3 linked regions of the Oryctolagus cuniculus genome follow. The main gene of each other region encodes a partner of the protein of the gene in region 2 in a complex. Links are inferred from orthologs where the notes say so. Each region holds a gene or a part of one and is shown on either strand. Other genes may lie near its edges.

The links.
Region 1: the proteins of protein S100-A4 (region 2) and MYH9 are in contact, whole or in part, in an NMR structure (PDB 2LNK), measured with the Homo sapiens proteins. The link is inferred for Oryctolagus cuniculus from reciprocal best matches to the Homo sapiens genes S100A4 and MYH9. Residues at the interface, in NP_002952.1 of Homo sapiens: Leu38, Ser44, Phe45, Leu46, Gly47, Lys48, Arg49, Thr50, Asp51, Ala54, Phe55, Lys57, Leu58, Asn61, Leu62, Ser64, Gln73, Glu74, Cys76, Val77, Phe78, Ser80, Cys81, Ile82, Met84, Met85, Cys86, Glu88, Phe89, Phe90; in NP_002464.1 of Homo sapiens: Thr1906, Ala1909, Met1910, Glu1913, Val1914, Ser1915, Leu1917, Lys1918, Lys1920, Leu1921, Arg1922, Asp1925, Leu1926, Pro1927, Phe1928, Val1929, Val1930, Pro1931, Arg1932, Met1934, Ala1935.
Region 3: the proteins of protein S100-A4 (region 2) and ANXA2 are in contact, whole or in part, in a crystal structure (PDB 5LPU), measured with the Homo sapiens proteins. The link is inferred for Oryctolagus cuniculus from reciprocal best matches to the Homo sapiens genes S100A4 and ANXA2. Residues at the interface, in NP_002952.1 of Homo sapiens: Lys35, Leu38, Pro43, Ser44, Phe45, Leu46, Gly47, Lys48, Arg49, Thr50, Asp51, Ala54, Phe55, Lys57, Leu58, Asn61, Leu62, Gln73, Phe78, Cys81, Ile82, Met84, Met85, Glu88, Phe89, Phe93; in NP_001002857.1 of Homo sapiens: Leu13, Glu14, Pro21, Ser22, Ala23, Tyr24, Ser26, Val27, Lys28, Tyr30, Thr31, Asn32, Phe33, Glu36, Arg37, Leu40, Thr44, Gln69, Asp70, Phe73, Arg77, Arg78.

The regions. Positions count from the first base shown.
Region 1 is NC_091442.1:113,573,593-113,579,649, forward strand, and holds part of MYH9 (myosin-9), read right to left. Parts: intron 5,975-6,057; coding exon 5,843-5,974; intron 5,630-5,842; coding exon 5,423-5,629; intron 4,692-5,422; coding exon 4,554-4,691; intron 4,226-4,553; coding exon 4,102-4,225; intron 3,212-4,101; coding exon 3,040-3,211; intron 1,954-3,039; coding exon 1,741-1,953; intron 1,445-1,740; coding exon 1,300-1,444; intron 1-1,299. UniProt on the Homo sapiens protein: Cellular myosin that appears to play a role in cytokinesis, cell shape, and specialized functions such as secretion and capping. Required for cortical actin clearance prior to oocyte exocytosis. Promotes cell motility in conjunction with S100A4.
Region 2 is NC_091438.1:44,753,580-44,760,152, forward strand, and holds protein S100-A4, read left to right. Parts: upstream 1-2,903; 5' UTR 2,904-3,030; coding exon 3,031-3,114; intron 3,115-3,295; coding exon 3,296-3,451; intron 3,452-4,710; coding exon 4,711-4,875; 3' UTR 4,876-5,006; downstream 5,007-6,573. Other genes in the region: S100A3 (protein S100-A3), read left to right, coding at 207-347, 769-936. UniProt on the Homo sapiens protein: Calcium-binding protein that plays a role in various cellular processes including motility, angiogenesis, cell differentiation, apoptosis, and autophagy.
Region 3 is NC_091443.1:83,306,865-83,313,448, forward strand, and holds the start of ANXA2 (annexin A2), read right to left. Parts: upstream 3,801-6,584; 5' UTR 3,508-3,800; intron 1,875-3,507; exon of another isoform or gene 1,603-1,874; intron 1-1,602. UniProt on the Homo sapiens protein: Calcium-regulated membrane-binding protein whose affinity for calcium is greatly enhanced by anionic phospholipids. It binds two calcium ions with high affinity. May be involved in heat-stress response.

The sequences.
Region 1 (6,057 bases), on a different chromosome or scaffold from region 2:
AACAGGGACGCTGCGTGGCTGGTTTGTCTGACGCCACTGGAAGAGCCACCCACGCTGGGTCCAGCCCTGGACTCCGTGGGCTCCAGCCGGCCCCACCTGTCCTCTGCTCTCCACTGGCGGTGATAAGGGCTGTGTATCCTCGCTCCGCCCAGCATCCCTACCTTCACAATACTCCCCCCCAAGCCCTGCTGGCTGGGGAGAGGGAAGGTGCTAGACTGGGTGTTACTGTGGCTGTCACGACCCTAGCAGTATTTGCAACACAGCGAGGGCACCTGACTTCCAACAGAGCCCCTCAGAAACCTGCTGTTCAAACAGTAACATGGCATTCTCTAAGTCACAGAAGTGGGGCAGACATTTGGCCTACAGGGTAAGGCACCCACGTCCTCCCCAGCAGTCCCTGGGTTCAGCTCCCAGCTCTGGCTTCCTGCAAGCCCCGAAAGGCAGCAGTGACGGCCCCAGAGTTGATCCCTGCCACCCACGCGGGGACCTGGATGGTGCTCCCGCTACCCAGCTTCATCCCCAGCCGGGGCCAGTGTACATGTTTGGGGACTGAACCAACAGCTGGAGTGCTCTCTCCCTCCCAAGTGAAGAAATAAAAATTTCAATATCTAGAAACAAAGTAGAGTTCACAAAGCAAATACAATAATCGCACTCTACTCTGCACCAAGTAGACCACGGGGCTGTGGGAAGATCAGCCGAGGTCAAGGGTAAACTGGGCCCTGGGCAGGAGTTGAAGGGAGACAGAATATATTTAGGCCCCACGTGGAAGAGCCTTGAACTTCCCCAGCTGCCACCACCAGACATGGAGCTCTGCAAGGCACAGGAGGCAGGACTTGGGGACCAGCTGGGTACACGGCCCTGGGGTTTTCCAGGGAGACCCCAGCTGACTACTTGCTGGGGGTGTTCCAGAGGGGACTCTGCAGGTGGAAGCCGGACCACCAAAGCCCTCTGACACCCACCGGTTCCTCCACGCTACCTGCTCTGACGGGTTGTTAATGACAACCCCAACATACGGACACCTTATGCCCTCATTGCCCAAGTGCTTCACACAGATTAACGACTCTAAGTCCTGTAATCATGAGACAAACCCATCGTCCCCCTGCACAGACAGGGAAACTGAGGCACGGGGTACTTTTGCCCCAAGGAACACAGGCGCTGTCTGGGGCTGAGCAGTCTGATGCCGGCACTGCTCTGCGGGACTGGCCGCGGCACGGCAGAGCGCAGAGTGCAGGGTCACCAGGAGGCCCCTCCCCTGAAAGCAGCCCGGCTGCGCCCGCAGGGGCTGGGGAGGCCCCGCACCCGCTTGGTCTGCTCCAGCTGCTCCGCCAGCTCCTCCACGGCCTGCGAGTGCTTCTGCCGCATCTCCTGGATCTGGGCCTCGTGGGTCCGCGCCTCGTCCTCGAGGGTCTTCTTCAGAATGTTCACTTCCTGCTCGCGTTTGGACCTGGACGGGGAAAACCCCTCAGAGCGGAGGCCGAGACCCGGCAGCCCTTCCCGGCACAGCCCCCGTCTGCAGCTTCTCTCCCCACCGGCCCCCTGCTCGGCTACTACAGGCCCTTGTACAGGCTCAGAGCCCACCCTCGCTGCGCCCTCCAAAGCCACGCTCCCCGCAGATCTGCTAGGCAGAGGGCAACGGCCGAGGAAGGCCCGGCTCCGCGCTCTCTGGACGTGGTGAGCCGTGTGCAGCACTGCTCCGGGCCCCCCGCCCTCGTGGCCAGGCCAGGCGGCCCCAGGCCACACCTGAGCTCCTGCTGCGCAGCAGTGGAGTCCAGGGTGTCCTCCAACTCTGTCTTCAGCGCCTCCAGCTCCTCCCCGAGGTCCCGCTTCTGCTTCTCGGCCTTGTTCCTGGAGGCGCGCTCGGACTCCAGGTCCTCCTGGAGCTCGGAGATCTGAGATTCCAGCTCCCGGATCTTCTTGAGGGCCATGTTCTTCTGGGCAGCCTCTTCTTCCACTCTGCCAGAGAGACGCTGTCAGCCTGAGGCCGTGTCCCCTGCAGGGCTCCGCCCGCAGGAGAGGCCTTAGAGGGGCAGCGGGGCAGCCAGCGCTGTCTATGCAGGTACATCATGGCAGTTCAGTGGCTCTCAGCAGAAACATGAGGTATCCCAGACCCGGAACACCTCAGAGAAACCCCTTCACCTTCCAAATGACACACACACACACACACACACACACACACACAATGGGGCCAGCACTGTCCTGTGGTGCAGCAGGCTAAAGCCATGGCCTGCAGCACCAGTACCCCACAGGGGTGCTGGTTAGAGTCCTGGCTGCTCCAATCCTGACCCATTACTCCCTGCTAATGTTCCCGAGGGAGCAGAGGAAGATGACCCAGGTGCCTGGGCCTGTGTACCCGTGTGGGAGACCAGGAAGCAGCTCCTGGTGCTTGGCTCTGCCTGGCCCACCTCGGCCGTTGTGGCCATTAGGGAGTGAACCAGCAGATGGAAGACCTTTCTCTCTGCCTCTCCTTCTATGTCTGCCTGTCTCTCTCTCTCTCTCTTTCTCTGTTTAACGCTGGCTTTCAAGTAAATAAATTTTCAAAAAAATTAACTTTAAAATGTTACACGAAAAAGGAAATACTCTAAAAAGCTACAGTCCATCAGACGGCAACTAAGTGGCAGGCAATGAGCTGTGGGCTTTGCATGGTTTTGTCTCACTGAAGGTTCACCGAGTGTTGACATCGGCAGAGGCCGTGCGTGGGGGAGGCGGGCAGGGTTTAGATGGGAAGTCTGTATGTTCTGCTCAATCTTGCAATGAATCTAAAACTAGAAAAATCAAGTCTGCTTTTTTAAACAAATGTGTGCCTATAGCCAAGAATTTTTTTAAAAAGAAAGTATTGTGGGCGGGAGACAGAGCTGTGGGTGGTTCTGGATTACCAAGGAGAAAGCCGCCCAGCACCCCAGCACCCCAGCACCCCAGCCTGTGCCGCTGGTGCCTGAGAACTTCTGCAGCCGCAGCGGAGGGGACGCTCGCGCTCGCTGGCGCGGCGAGCCTGGGCAGGGCGTGCTCTGGCCGGCGGCCACGTGGGAGCCCGGGCCTCACCTGGCCAGCGCGGCCTGCAGCTCCTCCTCCTTCTTGGCCAGCTGCATCTTGAGCTCGGCGATCTGCGCCTGCAGCTCGGCGATCTGGTCGCTGAGGTCGGTGGAGTCTCCCTCCAGCTTCCGGCGCGTCTTCTCCAGCTCCTGCCGCTGCTTCTCCTCCCTGCGGAGGCGCTCTGGGGGTGGGGGTGGGGGGACCTCAGCGGCTGCAGCTCTTCTGTGTTCAACGACTTACACAGCCAGGGCCAGAGGCCTTCGCGACACACAGCCAGTCACACCTGACCCCTGGATGCGGGACAAGAGCGCTGCCACGTGCGGTCCGGTGCCTGCCGGGCCTGTCTGCTCTGCCCTGCGGGCACACCATAGCTTCCTTCTCCAGCCCACGGGGACAGGTGTGTGACTCTCAGTGCACAAGGCCGAGCGCCGGATGGCACTGCTGGGTCAGGGGCACGCAGCAGGTGGGGGGGGGGGGTGTGTTTCTGACTCATCTACAGCTTCCTTAACACTTGCTGGTGTCAAACGTCTGTCAACCTGGTGGTCCTGCCCTCCGGGACGCCTTGGAAGGCCAAGTCCTGCAGACTCCTCCCCGTCACACACACACACACACGAGGGGTTGGCAGGGCTGGGACACTAGGCTGGGGAGGACGCCGCCGGCCGGCAGCCCATATCCACCCCACGTTCACCAGCCGGGCGCGGGGCTCCTCCAGCTGTGTCAGGCTCTCTCCCTCCCCGAGCTGTCCACGCCTCTCAAGGGGCTGGGGGTCTCAGCCAGCCATAGGCCTTCTACCGAGGCCTCCTGACCGCCACAGTCCCCAGAACACAGGAAACGAGGCAGGGCCGGCGAGCCTGGCCCACATCCAACCACCATCTCCTGCGGTCTCCCCAGCAGCTCGAGTGCGGCACAGCGGGCGACACAAGGGTCTGCTCTGAACCACGATTCCTGGGAACCAGCCAGAGCAACCAGGTGCTGCCGCGTGCCCTGGCCATCTCGCGCCTCACGGCAGCAGCCGAGCGCTGGGTCACGGGAGCCAGGGCCCCCGGCAGGCGGCCCAGGCCACGCCCTCACCTTCCAGGTCTGTGATCATCGCCTCGTGCTTGTTCTTGAGCTTGGCCAGGCTCTTGGACTTCTCCTCCTCCTCCATGAGGTTGGTGGTGAACTCGGCTATCCTGTCTTCCAGCAGCTTCTTCTCCTGAGGGGCGGGGGCGGGCCAGGCTGAGCGGGAGCGCACAGGACGCCGCAGCCCTCCTCAGAGCGCAGCCGGCCCAGGAGCGCAGGAGCAGGCACAGGCGAGGCCTGGCTGCAGGAGCACGGGACCTGCCGCACGAAGCCACCAAGGCGCCCCGGCTCCGCAGGGGACAGATGCACAGTGCCACACGGAGGGCCTGACTCGTCTCAAAAGCCAGCGAAGAGCTCGACTGCGGGGCAACGGCGAAGCTCCCTGGGGCCGCTCATTCGGGGGAACCCCCCGTGTGGCTCCGGGAGGGGGCCGCCCGGGCAGCCACGCGCGCCTGGCCCACCTTGGCCAGCTTGCAGTTCTGGTCCTCCATGATGATCTGCTCCTCCTCCAGCTTCTTCAGCTTGGCCTCCGTGGTCACCTTCTCCAGCTGCAGCTTCTGCCGGGCGCTCTCCTCCTCCTCCAGCTGCTCCTCCAGTTCCTGCCGGGAGCCGGAGAGAGGGTGGGAACGGTGGCTCTGCGAGCCCGGCAGCTTGGCCGGGATGCAGCCCAGCCCTGCAGGAGGGGTCACGCATCTGAAGCTGGGGTGCCAGGCAAGACGCCCGCAGTACTGCTCTGGGGGTCCCCTTTAGCCAGCTTCCCACTGGGCAGAGCGTGGAGGACAGGGCTGCCGGCCCTCCACTCCCAGGTCCCAGAGCAAGGGCTGCAGGGAGGCAGAACGGCCTTTGCCATGCCGGGGAGGGCAGAGCGCAGGGAGAGCTGAGAGGCCCGGATGGAACAGCCAGCCCCTGGGGGAGGCCCGTCAGCTGTGCCCATGGGCAGCGCGGGCACGCAGACCCGGACTCCTGTCCTGAGTTGGTGGGGCCTGGCGGGGAGCCCGACTCCCGTCCCGAGTCAGGGCCTGGCGGGGACTCCTGCCTTAAGTCGGTGGGGCCTGGCAAGAAGCCCGACTCCTGTCCCCACGTTGAGTCAGGGCCCGGCAGGGACTCCCGTCCCGAGTGGGCGGGGCCCGGCGGGGACTCCCGTCCCGAGTGGGCGGGGCCCGGCGGGGACTCCTGTCCCGGGTCAGGGTCCGGCGGGGACTCCCGTCCCGAGTGGGCGGGGTCCGGCGGGGACTCCCGTCCCGAGTCGGCGGGGCCCGGCGGGGACTCCCGTCCCGAGTGGGCGGGGCCCGGCGGGGACTCCCGTCCCGAGTCGGCGGGGCCCGGCTACCTGGATGTTCTGCTGCATCTTCTTCTTCTCGGCCTGCAGGTGCTGGCAGCGCTCCTCCTCCTCCTCCACCCGGGCCTCCAGGTCGTGGCAGATCTCCTCCAGCTCCTGCTTCTTGGCAGTCAGGCGGGCGCGGAGCTCCTCGGCCTCGGCGCACAGCTCCGTCTCTGCCTGGAGCTGCTCCTGCAGCTGCAGCTTCTCTGCCATGAGCTGCAGCGGGCACACGGAGCGCAGAGCACGCGCTTGCACCCTCCTCCCGGGGCTCCGGGGCTCCCGGGCACCTTCCAGACACCGTGTCCTCAAGACCTCCAAGAACCAGCCGGCCTCCAACGCATACCCCGGGAGAGACTAACCACCCTGCTCCTCCGGCACCTGGGGCAGCAAACGTGCCTCCCCCGGTGGCCAGCAGGGGGCAGCACCCACCTGAGACTGCAGCGTCTCCATCTCCGTGAGCCTGTTCTCTGCCGCCAGCTGCTTCTCCCGCACCTTCACCAGCTCCTCCTCCTTGGCAATCATCTCCTCCTCCTGCCGGCTCACTTGCAGCAGCGGCTTGACCTGGGGAGGAGAGACACAGCTCGCTGGAGGCCGAGGCCACGCGACACACCAGGAGGAGCCACGGGGGGTGGACGTCAGGGCGG
Region 2 (6,573 bases):
TGCAGACGGCGAGACTGAGCCTCTGTGGGTGTGGGGCGTGGGCTAAGGTAGGGCAGAGTCAGCTGCTTGTTTGGGGGACACCTCTGGGGCCTGAAGCCAGGCTAAGACGGGTCTGGGAAAAGCCCCTTGGAAAACATCAAGGGCACGGGTGGGCAGGGGGCTGGCCGGGGCCTCTGTGGGTCACACCCTCATCTGTGGCAGGGAGGATGGCCAGGCCCCTGGAGCAAGCAGTAGCTGCCATCGTGTGCACCTTCCAGGAGTACGCAGGGCGCTGCGGGGACAAATACAAGCTCTGCCAGTCGGAGCTCAAGGAGCTGCTGCAGAAGGAGCTGCCCACCTGGACCCCGGTGAGCACCTGGGCGCTGGGCCTTCCCCTTCCTGCGGGGAGACACTGCTGGGCCTCTACAGAGAGACCTGGGACAGCAAGAGGGGCCAAGGCTCGTGTGCAGTGGTGGGGGTGGGGGGCAGCAGGAACACAGTTCTCATCACACCTGCTGCCTGGCAGACCTGCGGGGAGGCTTGAGGGAGAGCCCCGGGAAGAATGCCCAGCACACAGTAGGCCCTCAGCGGCACATAGTAGGTGTTCAACATATGATCTGGGGTGGGGGAGTTGGAAGGAGTCTTGAAATGGGTGCCTTGTCAGGACAGGAAGGCTGGGGGCTGGGCTGGGCTGGGCTGGGCTGGGGCCACTCAGGAGCAGAGGGAGGGCCAGGGGGCGAGGCTGTCCTGCCTGTTTCACCCTGCCTCTCCCCCGACCTCCCTGCACAGACTGAGTTTCGGGAGTGTGACTACAACAAATTCATGAGCGTCTTGGACACCAACAAGGACTGCGAGGTGGACTTCGCGGAGTACGTGCGCTCTCTGGCCTGCCTCTGTCTCTACTGCCACGAGTACTTCAAGGACTGCCCTCCCCCAGAGCCCCCCTGCTCCCAGTAGCCTGTGCTGTAGTTGGGGGGGCGCCCCGGCAGGGCAGGATCCGCCCCAGGCTGTGCCATCTCTGCCCCCGGGTGGTCCTGGCTGTGCCTCCCACACCCCCTTCCCTTGGCCCTGTGTCCCCTGCAATGTGGAATCGTGCAGATCAGCCCTGCTGGAGGACCAGGGTGCCCAGCCAGTGAGGCAGCTCCCGCTCCCTGTCTGTGCAGTGGACGGAGGAGGCGGGGATGTGCCGTGGGCCCTGGAGGCCCGGCACGGTGCGTGCCAGCAAGACCAGGACGGGATGGGCCTTTCCGCTCCTAATAAAGAACAGGTGTCCATGTGGCGTGGTTTGGTTCTTCTGAGAGGCACGGGGCCTTGAGACACAGCCCTGTTGACAGCTTTGCTCTCCTCTGGTCTTTTCCACTGGGGAGCAAGGCTGAGGGCAGCAGCCAGAGCTCCCATGGGCCCTGGGAGCAGTTTCAGAGCCTGCAGAGATGCAATGGTTACAGTCAGCACAGGAACTCCCGTTCTGTCCGTCTGTCTCTCAGTCTTTGGAGGGGGGTGCTGTCAAGGAGGGCAAGGGGGCAGCCCGAGGTCCCAGGGGTGAGGGAGCTGCAGCTCGGGCCTCGTGACCGGATGCGCTGAGGAGGAGGGTGGGGTGGGGCGCTTGTTCCCTGCCCCGGGCTGTGGCAGCCCAGAGAGCAGCACTAATGGGATTAGGGTGTCTCAGGGGTTTGCTGCCAGCTGGGGTGGGGTCCTGTACTGGAGGCAGAAGGGGAGGGGGATAGCTTGAAGCGAGCCCCATCCCTGAAGCCACAACCCGCTGAGGCCCTTAAGCCCCCTCTGCTGCCCCTCACTCACCCCTGGACCCCCTGTGCCCCACCCTGAGGGGTCATCCCTGAACCTGACTCCCCCGTGTTGTGCCATGTCACCTCTATCTCTGCACCCCAAACTGCAATATTCATCCCTGACGCCCCCCTCAACCCCACACACCCCCTCCTGCCTACTCTGTGAGTCACAAGCCATACTGAGCCCCACACTGCACTCCCACCCCCACTCCACCAGGACCTCGCCCCTTGATGTACCTGGGCCATCTCACACCTGCCACCAGCCACCTGCCACCCCTGCCTCTCCTTTTCTCATGGCCGCTGGGACTACTTCCTCTGCAGCCCCCAGCCCCAGGCACTGCCCTCCCTCCCCGGCTCCCTGAAACTCTTGCTGGGCTGTGTGCACTGGGTGGTGCCTGCTCCATCAGCTCCCTGCTGGTGCCCACTGGGGCTGGCCCACTGCCCATGGGGGCCTGGCCGGGTCAGGATGCCCGGCAGCCGGCTGAGGCCATGGAGGGGCTGCCCGACTCACCACATCAGCCCACAGCAGGAGGGCAGTGTGCGCTCCCCCATCCCCTTGCCAGGGGCAGGGCCTGGCTGGGGTATAAATAGTCAGACCGCTGGGCTCTCCCCGCTCTTCCTCTCTCCCCAGCCCTCCTCCTCTGTGCTTCCTCTCTCGGCTTGGTGAGTTCTGTGGGCCTGACTGGCACGCGAGGGTGTCACGGGCTGAGGCTGGGTGGGGGAAGGACAGCCTGGTGGGGGCCAGATGTGCTGAATGGACCCAGATGCACAGGCTCTGGGGTGCATGGAAGAGAGAAAAGGCAAGAAGAAAAGTGTGCAGCAGCTGGGTTTGAGCGCCCCCTCCCCGCCCCAGCCCTTCTGAGAAACTGGGGCTTGTGCAGTGTGTGCCTGAGCTGGAGATGTGCACCCTGCTGCGGGGTTGCTGGGCTGCACAAGTGTGCACCCTCGGGTGCAGGAAGAAAGCAAAGGCAACCGAGGGCTTCCTCTGCTCCCGCTCTGTGAGCCCCTGCTCTGCACCCGGCAGCTCAGCCCGGCAGAGCCCTGGCCTCCCACCCAGCCCTGGCACCCCTGCCTCCGCCACCTCACCGGCCCCTCCCAATGACGGGCTGGGTGCCAGGCTGCCGGTTTTTTCCGCTGCAGGCCCCCATGCAGGCCTCTAGCTGCCGCGCCCAGCGCTGGGAGGGAGAAGAATGGGCTGGGGCGGCCGTTGTGGCTGAGCTGTGGGAGTGGACGGGTGAGGGAGGGGTGGAAGAACGCTGTTGTTGGGATGAGGCCTGCAGCCACCTCCGGAGCTTGCTGCCTGGCTCCCTGGAGCCCATGCCACGAACCCCACAAAAGTCCACGGTCCCAAGTATGCATTCCCCCCCCCCGCACCCCTCCCCACCAATAGCTGTGCCCGCCTCTCTGGGTGTCCCCGAGGGCCAGAGAAGTGTCATCAAGGGCCTCTTGAGGGATGGGAGTGCAGGCGGGCATTCGGAACACATGGCTGGGGAGCAGGGGAGGATAAGGGTGCCCGTGCCTCCCGCCCTCAGATCCTGACCGCTGCCATGGCGTGCCCCCTGGAGAAAGCCCTGGACGTGATGGTGGCCACCTTCCACAAGTACTCGGGGAAAGAGGGTGACAAGTTCAAGCTCAACAAGTCGGAGCTAAAGGAGCTGCTGACCCGGGAGCTGCCCAGCTTCTTGGGGGTGAGTGGGTCCCCTGGGAGCAAGCACCCTCCCCCATCCCCAGCCCCCAACCCCCTGCAGGGGAGGCGCAGGCTCTATGAGGCTGCAGGCTTTTTGTGGAATATCAGCTAAAGCTGGTGTTTCTGACTGTGTGGGGAAACTGGGGAGCAGGGAGCCTGCATGGGGTGCAAACACGGCCCCAGCAGAAAGAAGGCTGAGAGAGAACAGGGAGGTTAGGGGCCAGACCCTCTGTCAGGTGCTCTGTACATCTTAAGTGAAAGGGAAAAAAACAAAAACAAAAAACTCAGAGTTAAGTATTTCCCAAGGTAGTGCATGTACAAAACTGGTCTGGACTAAGACCGCCGACTGCCCATTCTTCACTCCAACAGTGAAGGGCTGGAGTTTCCATTTGGCTCATAGATGTGCAGACACAGGTATAGAGACTCAACACACCTAAGATGTCCCCCCCAACAACAGCGTCTACACCTGCATCAAGCAGTCCACCATTTACAAGAGGGTATTGCAAAAAGTTCATGGGAAGTGGCATGAAAAAGCAAGTTTATTTTGGTGCAAAATTTTGAAATCTATAGTTTTAAAAATAATACTCATTTTCATGAACCCTTTGGAGAGTCTTGGGAAGCATGGGTTTCAAACATTTTTGTACCAAAAGGAACTTATTTTTAAATTATATTTCCGGGGCTGGGCATGGTGGTACAGTAGGTTAAACTTCCGCCTGCAATGCTGGCATTCCATATGGGCCCCAGTTCAAGTCCCTGGTGCTTTGCTTCCAACCCAGCTCCCTGTTAATGTGCCGGGAAAGTGGCAGAAGTTGGCCCAGGTACTTGGTCCCTTGTCACCCACATGAAAGACCCAGATGGAGTTCCAGGCTCCTGACTGTGGCCTGTCCCAGCCTTGGCAGTTGAAGCCATCTGGGGAGTAAGCCGGCACATGGAAGAGCTCTCTCTGTCTCTCCCTCTATAACTATGCCTTTCAAATAAAAAAAAAAATTCTGTTTCCACAAACTTTCTGCAGTAGCTGGCATATGCTGTCATGATCATTACCTCACTGGATCATGAGGACAACCTCTAGGGAAGGCGTGTGGTCACTTCGTTTTGCACCTGCACCAGGTCCTCAGACGTCCCCATCCAAGGAGTACTCCCGTTGGCGCTGGTGTGGCCCTGAGGGTTGGGGTCCGAGGCTGGGCCCCCCACAGGAGAGCTGCAGGTGCCAAACTGGTCTAGCCCTGCTCTACCCCCGTGGCTTCTGCTTTCTCCCTCCAGAAAAGGACGGACGAAGCCGCGTTCCAGAAGCTGATGAGCAACTTGGACAGCAACAAGGACAACGAGGTGGACTTCCAGGAGTACTGCGTCTTCCTGTCCTGCATCGCCATGATGTGCAATGAGTTCTTCGAAGGTTTCCCTGATAAGCAGCCCCGGAAGAAGTGAAGGCTCCTCAGATGCCGCTGGGGGGCCCGCCCGCTGGGGTCTTCCCTGTCTGCAGTGGGCACAGCACCTTAGTCCCGCCCCTTGAGACATGTGCACCACGCTGAGCAACTTTAATAAAGAGTCTTAACACCTGTGAGGCTCTCAGTCTGTGACTCTGGGGGCGTGTGGGGTTGGGGGCTGAGGGATGTGTGTGTGGTGGTGGGGGGGGGTAGGGCTGGGGGTGCTGGGACTTGAGCTGCTGGGTTGCAGATCCCAGGAGTGAAGGCTGGGAGGGAGCAGGAGTGACTGAGGGTGTGTGTGTGTGTGTGTGCAGGCATGCGTGTGACCCAGAGGACAGGGGTGGGGCCCAGGCAGGGAAGGAGACCACCAGGGCTTGGAGGGCGGGGCTGTGGCACTGAGCCAGCCCACTCACCCTTTCCAGCTCCCACCAACCATGCCTCTGGCCAATCCCTGAACTGAGGTTACTACGATGGGAAGGTCACATCTGTTTCTAGTTGGGGTCTGGAGAGAAGAGAACGGAGCTGAGTCAGGCGGAGGGAGTAGCCAAGCCAGAGCAGCAGGGGGAGGGGGCTAGCGCTCAGCCCCAACATTTGCAGCCTACGCCTGTCCTGCCTCCCCTTCTAGCTCATTGGCTTCACACCACAGGGGCGGGTTCATCCTGGCCTGTCCCGGGTCGGCCCGGATCAGCGGGGGCAGGATGCAGGGGCAGCGCGCAGCCTCCAGCGCCCGGGTTGTCGCTGGGGCTCTCCGACCCGCGATCCCTGCCCCCAGGCCCCTGGAGCGGGAAACGAGGAGTGGGGGTGGGGCTGGGGCAAAGACAAAAGGCCGGACTTGAGAAGAGGGGACCCAATGCTGCCTCGGCTTAGAGTCTGGGGCTGACTGAGGCTGTACCTGAAGCGAGTGGGTGTCAGGCCCCGAGGCCCGGGGGTTTGGTCCCCCTTTCCTCTCATCCCACTGAGCTTTCCCCTCAAGTTTCAGGGGAGGGGGCGGTGACTCATATGTTTCCCCCACCCCAGTGGGACTGCAGCGACCTGGGTAGGACCTTGGCTCTCCTCCTCCCAGCCTGGCCACCGCCCGCCTCCGCGCGGTCCTCCCGGGGCAGCCTCCCTCGCGGCTCTCTCTTCGGAAACTCCTGCTGCCTAGCGACCGACCTCGCCAGCGGGAGCGCCGGGGCTTCAGCCATAGTGGGCACTCACCCTCAGAGCAACACCTGAGTGTCCCCCAGGATACGACCCCACCCCATCCATGACTGCGCCCTGAACCCAAGCCCCAGCTCCATCCCATCCTGGGGTCCCCGCGTGTCTACCTCCCCTCCTTAGTTCCTAGTTCTCAGCCGTCAGTGTCAAGACTCCAGCAAGTCCCCATGAGACAACCATTTATTTAAAGCTTTGTAAAAACCACACTGGCTGATGGATGACCTTGCCCTTGACAAGGAAATATCTTCCTCCGGGGATCCCCGCCTCCAGGTGGTCTTCTCTGCTCTTGAGGTGGGTGGGAAGGTCTCCAAGAGGAGAGTGGCCGGGGGACATGGGGCACATCCGGTGTGTGGCTCTAGGCTTCCTGTGGTTCAGTCAGACTGTGAATTCTGCTTTTTGGTTGAGAGTGGAGTGTGAGCAGGTGAACTCAGTGTGCCCCACACCCCTGTTTGTAAACAAGGAAAGGGAAATTGGCAGAGGGGTTTCTCCTGGCCCATCCCTG
Region 3 (6,584 bases), on a different chromosome or scaffold from region 2:
CGACGCTTCCCTCAACATGCTGCCCCTCCAAGCTCCAAGCTCCCCTGATCAGCTGAACCTTACCCTCCCCCCTCGGCCTGAGGCTCTCAGCAGAGCTGTGTATGTGGAGGTGGCACCACCTGCCCCCAGGGTTTCTGACTTATTGCTGTTTCCTCACAGGTGTGAGCTCACCGCGTGGCACACAGCAAGCATGCAATCACATCCTGGGAGATTGCACACACATCCGGGCTTTCCACTGTAGCTGGTCTTTCTTCCCCTGCCTTTCCAACACACCCTCCTTCCTCCATTTTCTTTCTCTCCTAGACCAAACATTGCAAATGCAGTTCCAGGTCCAGGCAGTAGGCACAGGAGCCTCTGCCTGGCAGGTCCCCGTGGGGGCAGCCCCTTTCTCATCACGATCTACTGTAGCCCGGTCCCCAGCCCCCGCTTCTGCTCTGTCTGGGCTACTAGAGCCTGAGGCCTGTCCACACGGCCTTCGGGCGTGGAGCAAGCACGGAAGCAGTGAGCAGACAGGACGGACTTCCTCTGAGCATGTAGCCTGGGCGTGGCAAGGAGACAAAGGACACAGGCAGAGGGTTCACACCAAGCCAGGGATTAGAACTCAGACCACTACGGCGCTACTGGTTTGTGCTTCAACACTGTTGAGCCCAGGTGGCTTAGACTTGTATGTCATCTCCTGGGCATCTCTCTTGACCTCTACTACTAACCTAGCCCCTCAACAAAGTAGAGCAGGACTCTGGCAACAGGAGATGGAAAAATTCACCAGGCAGTGAATGAGTGGAAAGAGGGTGGGTTTTTTGGTTGTTTTTGTTTGTTTGTTTGTTTGTTTGTTTTGTGGCCTAGAATTTCCTCTGGTGTGGCCTAGCACTACAATAGGGCGTGGCACCAGGGAAAGGAGGAAGCTGATTCCCACACGCACACACAGAGGAACACCCAATTTCTCTTTAATTCTCACATTCAAATCAGGAAGTCAGCACAGCCTTAAACAACACTTGCCAAGGTGGGTTATGGATGATGCTTAGGTCTGTGGCTCAGTTTGTATCAAAGGGAAAATGAGCCCTGGTCAAATTTGGAAACTAACATTGGTGAAACGTGAAACTTAAAATATGATGGCTGTCACACAATTCACAGCTAGATTTAAGGTCTACAGAGCAGGGATGTGTGTGTGTGTGTATGTGTGTGTGTGTGTGTTTCGCTTACTGTTGTTTCTCCAGTGGCTACAACTGTGGGTGGAACATAGTAGGTGCTTGATAGTCTGTGGAATGAAGGAATGTCTGAGGCAGCCCATGGCACGCCCATCCTTTCTCCATGATAAATGGCCCAAGCCCCACACAGAGTGACAACCAAGACTCACCACAATGCATTAGTGCCAGGTCCTAGGCTCACAGGTGCAGGAAAAGCCTCCAGGCCTCCAAATCGATAACAATTACAGAAGAGTATCTACTTTGCCAGAAAAGCTACTTAAATCTGACATTAGCCAGGAAACTAACGGCCATGACTGCAGTCCAATGTCAATAGATACAGTCCTTTAATAGCTCCAAGACCCGGGATGTTAAATACTGGAGACTCCAGTCCAAGACTGAGCTCTTAATCAAGGTCAGTGAGTCAGCAATATTTCCTGGTCATTTGAGGAAGGCAGGCGACACAGCCATAAGCTTCCTATTGAAATACTGCACACAGGCGGTCAGGGCCTGCTCCCCTCCACTGCAGACGTGCTGGGCCATCCAGCCCTGAAACTTCTGGACAAGAGATTTAGAAGTTGGTAGAAAGCTGTTACAGGATACACTAGTCCTGGTCTCATCTGAAATCTTCCTTCACCTGGCCTGAACATTACTTCTCCTGGATTCCATTACCTCAAATTCTACAAAGTGCAGGTGGGTGTGGGCTAAGGAGGGTTTCTCAGTGCTGTTTCTTCACTAACAGTGCTCTCTGGATTGCTGGGGGTTTTAGGACCTCCGACCTAATGATCATTTATTGCATTTGCTGGCTTCTAGCTGGGGTTGGCGTCACACTGGAGGGAGGAAGAGGGAATACAGCAGACCTGGACAAGGCCCCTGGGCTGCTGTCTCACATCAGGGAAGGTGGTCTCTAAGGAGGCAAAAGAGAGGCATTGAAAAGAAAGCAGAGAGGAGGCAGAAGCATGAAAAAGAATTTAATCAGGGCCAACTTCAAAGAAAGTTCCAGAAAAAATTCAGTGATTTATTCTTCCTACCCACCTGTCGGCCCCTCACCCCCAATTAGGCAGTGCCTGCACACAGAGCATGGTAAGCGGGTTCTTTCGGGCTAGCCTGGGAGCCTAAGCATTTTCAGTAACATCGTTTCCCTGGGAAAATGCATTCTGCATTCCAAATCACCAAGGTGTGGCCAGAAGGCTTCTCAGACCCAGGTAAAGGCCCAACGTGTACCCATCAGGCCACTGCTGTTTCACCCCCAGACTCCAATCACCCACAGCTTTAAAATGACAAATCTCACCACAAAAATGATACTTCACCCTTGTCTGGCGCCGTGCATTTGCAGTGCACTTTAAAGATTTAATTTTGAATGAACATGTTTTTTGAAATCTTCAATACATAGTCCTCCTTCGGGCAGAGGGAGTATAATGGGGGTCCTTAAACCACTTGCATAGGTAAGAAACCTGAGGGTCCACTCCTGTTTCTCCAGGGCCAGTCCATGGAACCCAGGCCCTGCCCAGCAGCCAGCTCCGAGCTGCAGGGAGCGGCTGGGCCACGCCCTTCTGGGCACTCCAGGTCCCTGACTCACTGCCGCATCACCGCAAGTAACAGTCAGGCCAGCCCTCCCCACAAGAACTCCGGGGACACTTCCTTCCCCATGCAAACGTGCTCAACCAAACGGAAAAGCCCCCAGATTGAGCACAATCTGAAACTGCTATCCTCCAAGATAATCTCTACGAAAGAGCAAAGAACTGAGGTTTCTGTTTTGTTTTATTGGGTGCACGGCTGGCTACTCAAAACTCCCACCCCACCCCCACCCCAGCCTCCCCTCTCAGGGGTCGGCTCAAGCTCCACAAACGCGCGTCCAGATCGCGTAAAGGGACTTTAAGCACACATGGGCGGCATTCTGGAGAGCGGTGGAACTCCAGCTCCACGCGGAGCGCACGGCCCCTAGCAGTCCGCAGCGCTCGGCGGCCACGCCCTGTCCCCCTCCCGGGCCCGGCACGTCTGGAATGCGGGGCCCCCAGTGCTCCCCTGCGTGAGCAGGCTCGCCCGCTACCCGCGAAGCCTCCATGGGAATGCACAGTCCGGTCCTCATGCTCCGCGCTCCCAGGCCTGGACACGAACGGCCCCACTCATCCCGCCCCGGACACCTGGCCTTGCGCCCCCCGCCCGCAGCAGCCCAAGTGCGCCCCGGTCTCCCCCGGCTCCCGGCCCGGCCGCTCGAGCCCCTCTCTGCAAGCCCCTTTCCCCCTTGCCAGCCTCCGCAGGCCCCGCTAGTGCTGCGGCCCCGGGCCATAGCGGGCGGGCGGCGGGTGTGGCGCGTCCCGCTTACCTGGGCCGGGCGCCGAGAGTTGCGAGCGTCTCCAGTTGCCGAGCGGAGCTGGCTGCCTTGGGTGGGGCTTTTATACCCGCCACATCCTCTCGGCCAGGCCCGCCCTGCCCGCCCCCACCCCGACTCGGGGTGACTCACGCTCGCCGGGCCGCTGGCCCGAGCGGGTAGCCACGCCCTGGAACGGCTGCGAGCCTCGCCGCGCGGGAGCGGCCCGACGCCCACGGCCCTGCCCAGGGTGGAAGCCCCGCCGAGACTTCCCCGAGGTCCGGGTTAGGCCGTCTCTTTTCCTCCCTTCCGGACTGGAGTGCCACGTCGAGTTCCTAGCCTGGGCTTCGGTTCCTAAATGGGCCACACTTTAGGAGAAATCACTTTATTTTCTTTTTTCTTTCTTTTTCTTTTCTTTTCTTTTTTTTTTTCTTTAGGCGCCAAAGCCCTGGAAGAAAGAATTGATCCAAGAAACATAAATCTGGATTCTCCTGCTCTGGGACGTTTGGCATCCAGCAACCCATTACCATCTGCAAACATATTAGCTTAACCTCTGGACGCCTGTTCCCGGAAGGAGAACGCGCAGGCCATGCGCCCCGGCCTCGGAGAGTGCCCCGAGCAGGGATCCCTCACCCCACCTCTGCACCGGGAGGCGCCCTCTTCCCCGGGGACTGCTGAGCTCTGCGTGCGTCAGCCTCTGGGACCCACCACTCTGCGCAGCCTTGTGACAGGCAGGCCCGAGCTGGGTGGGGCGCCTGGCTTTGAACCCCGAGTTGCAACGGAGAACTTTGATCCGTTCTTCCTTTTGTGACCGCCAGTTGCTTTCACTTGCCCCGAAGCCATTGAGCCAACTCCCTCGCTCGGTTTTGCTGTTTCTCGCTTTTCTTCCCCGGCACTACTTCCACGAGTGCCACTTGCAACTTGTGGCCGAGCACGTGTGACTGAGCCAGCGATGCATGCAGCTCTCAGACTGAGAGCTTGGCTAAAAACCCCACAGACTTTGAACTCCCTCCCTCCTTGCACACTCAGCCTAGGCAGTGTTTTTGCCCAGTCTGGCTGCTCCTGGGAGTCGGAGCGACAGCCAAGGCAACCAGACACTGAGTGCTGTGCTCAGGGTCACACAAATGGGTAGCTGCAAAATCCAGCCTAGGAAGGTTTCCTAGCACCCAGCCTGGGCTCTTTTCTCTAGGAATTAATTAGGCATGACAGGCACTGTCAGAAGGCTGGGCGAGGCAGAAGCTAGGAGTCAGGAACTCCATCCGGGTCTCCCCCATGGGTGCCAGGAACCCAAGTACATGAGCCATTCTCTGCTGCCTCCAGGTGCATTATGAAGAAGCTGGATTGGAAGGAGTTAAACCCACATGCTCCACTATGGGCTACAGGTGTCCCAAATGGAGGCTTAACCTGCTGAGTCCCAATGCCTGCCCCGAAAGCAACCCTTCTAATACAATTTCTAATGTGCATTCACAGCCTTTCAATTCAGAATGCGAGCTGTAAAGGCAGAAACCACATGGGTTGGTTTCCTGGGTGAGAACTGGAGGAACACAGGCAGGCAGTGATAATGGCGGGCAGGAGGTGGCCTCCCTCCCTCCTCTCCTCCGGCAGGTTCCATGCCAGCTCCTCACTGTGCTGCCTTGCCGCTGTGGGCATCTGCAGAGGGGGAAGAGCTAATGCGAACCAGGTGCAGTACAGATCAGTACAATAGCAAGGCTTTGCTTGGTGCTTGACAGAAATTCGCCGTGATGGTATCTTAGAAAACAAAGCTGTTAAGTCATGGTTGCTTATTTCGGAGGAATGTGAGGCCAGTTCTGCCAGTAAAAGAACTTTTGATTCTTAACCCAAAGATTCTCTTCTTCCTTTCTGCTCCCCAGCATGGCTTGGGGGGATGTTTGCTATAACAGAGCTCAGATTATGTCAGCTGTTGTGCGCATTGTCCTCTCAATGCCTGCCATTGTTCTGTTCACACTTTGTCTGCTGCACCTCAACACCTCTGAGAATGCCTAGCTAGCAATGCTAGGCTCCCACAAGTGATACAGCAGAGTTACGCACAGAATAATATAGAGCAAGGAGGGGCCTTAGAGATGAACTTCTCCTATCCTTCATGTTGACTTATGAGGAAATGAAAACCCACGTTGTCTCCGACCGAATCCAGGGATTCAACGGTGCATCCAAGGTCCCTGTATCTGTTCCATATTGCAATGTAACAAATTACTTCCCAAAACATGCACAACCATTTATTTGCTTATCATTCTGCAACTCGGGCACGACTCAGTGGAAACAGCTGAGCTCGGCTCTACGTGATGTTGGGTGGGGTTGAGTAGTTCAGTTGGAGTTGGAAGATGGCTGGTGGCTTTACTTATTTGTCTGGTGTGTTGGCTGGAGTTGCTAGAATGATGGAGAATAGGCTGAGCCTGTCTCATTCCTCCTGGTCCTCCTCACTCTGTACCAAGATAGTAACGGCAACTGGCTCTCCAGAAGCAACAGCTGAAACCGCCAGTGCTGGGGGCGTGACAGCTGTGCAAAGACAGGTGCTGGGGGATTTTGCCTATGAGCTGTAGTTTGCTGATCCTTGCTTTAATCCCTTGGTCTGCTCAGTTTCTGGCTTTGTCGTCTGGGCTCTGGGCTCCACCCTCTGAGACGCCTTTCCTTTTCCTAAACAGTAGTTCATATTTGTAACTCAGTACAATCTCAGTCTACGGCATGCCGGTAGAAACCCAAAGTTGTCTAGAAGCTTCTTTAAAGTTTGAACTGTTTCTCTGTCCAAGGTGACAGTCGTTTCATAAATACAAGTGTCTTAAAAACCATGTGGATATTCTGTAAGTCTTATTAGGTTAGCTTCATGCTTCAAAATCCATGGCCAATACACTTTTCTCAGAAACCCTATGAGAGTTATGTAAATCTTATTGGGGGTTAATCCCATACTCTGAGATTCATATTCATTATTTTATGTGAAAACAGACCTCTCTCCATGTTGTACAAGTTGGGCTGCAGGAAATATTGTGCTTACGATTCCAAAAGCACATTAAAAAACTTTCTAGGGTTTTAACAAATAAAAAATACTTATGGAGCCGGCGCTGTGATACAGCAGGTTA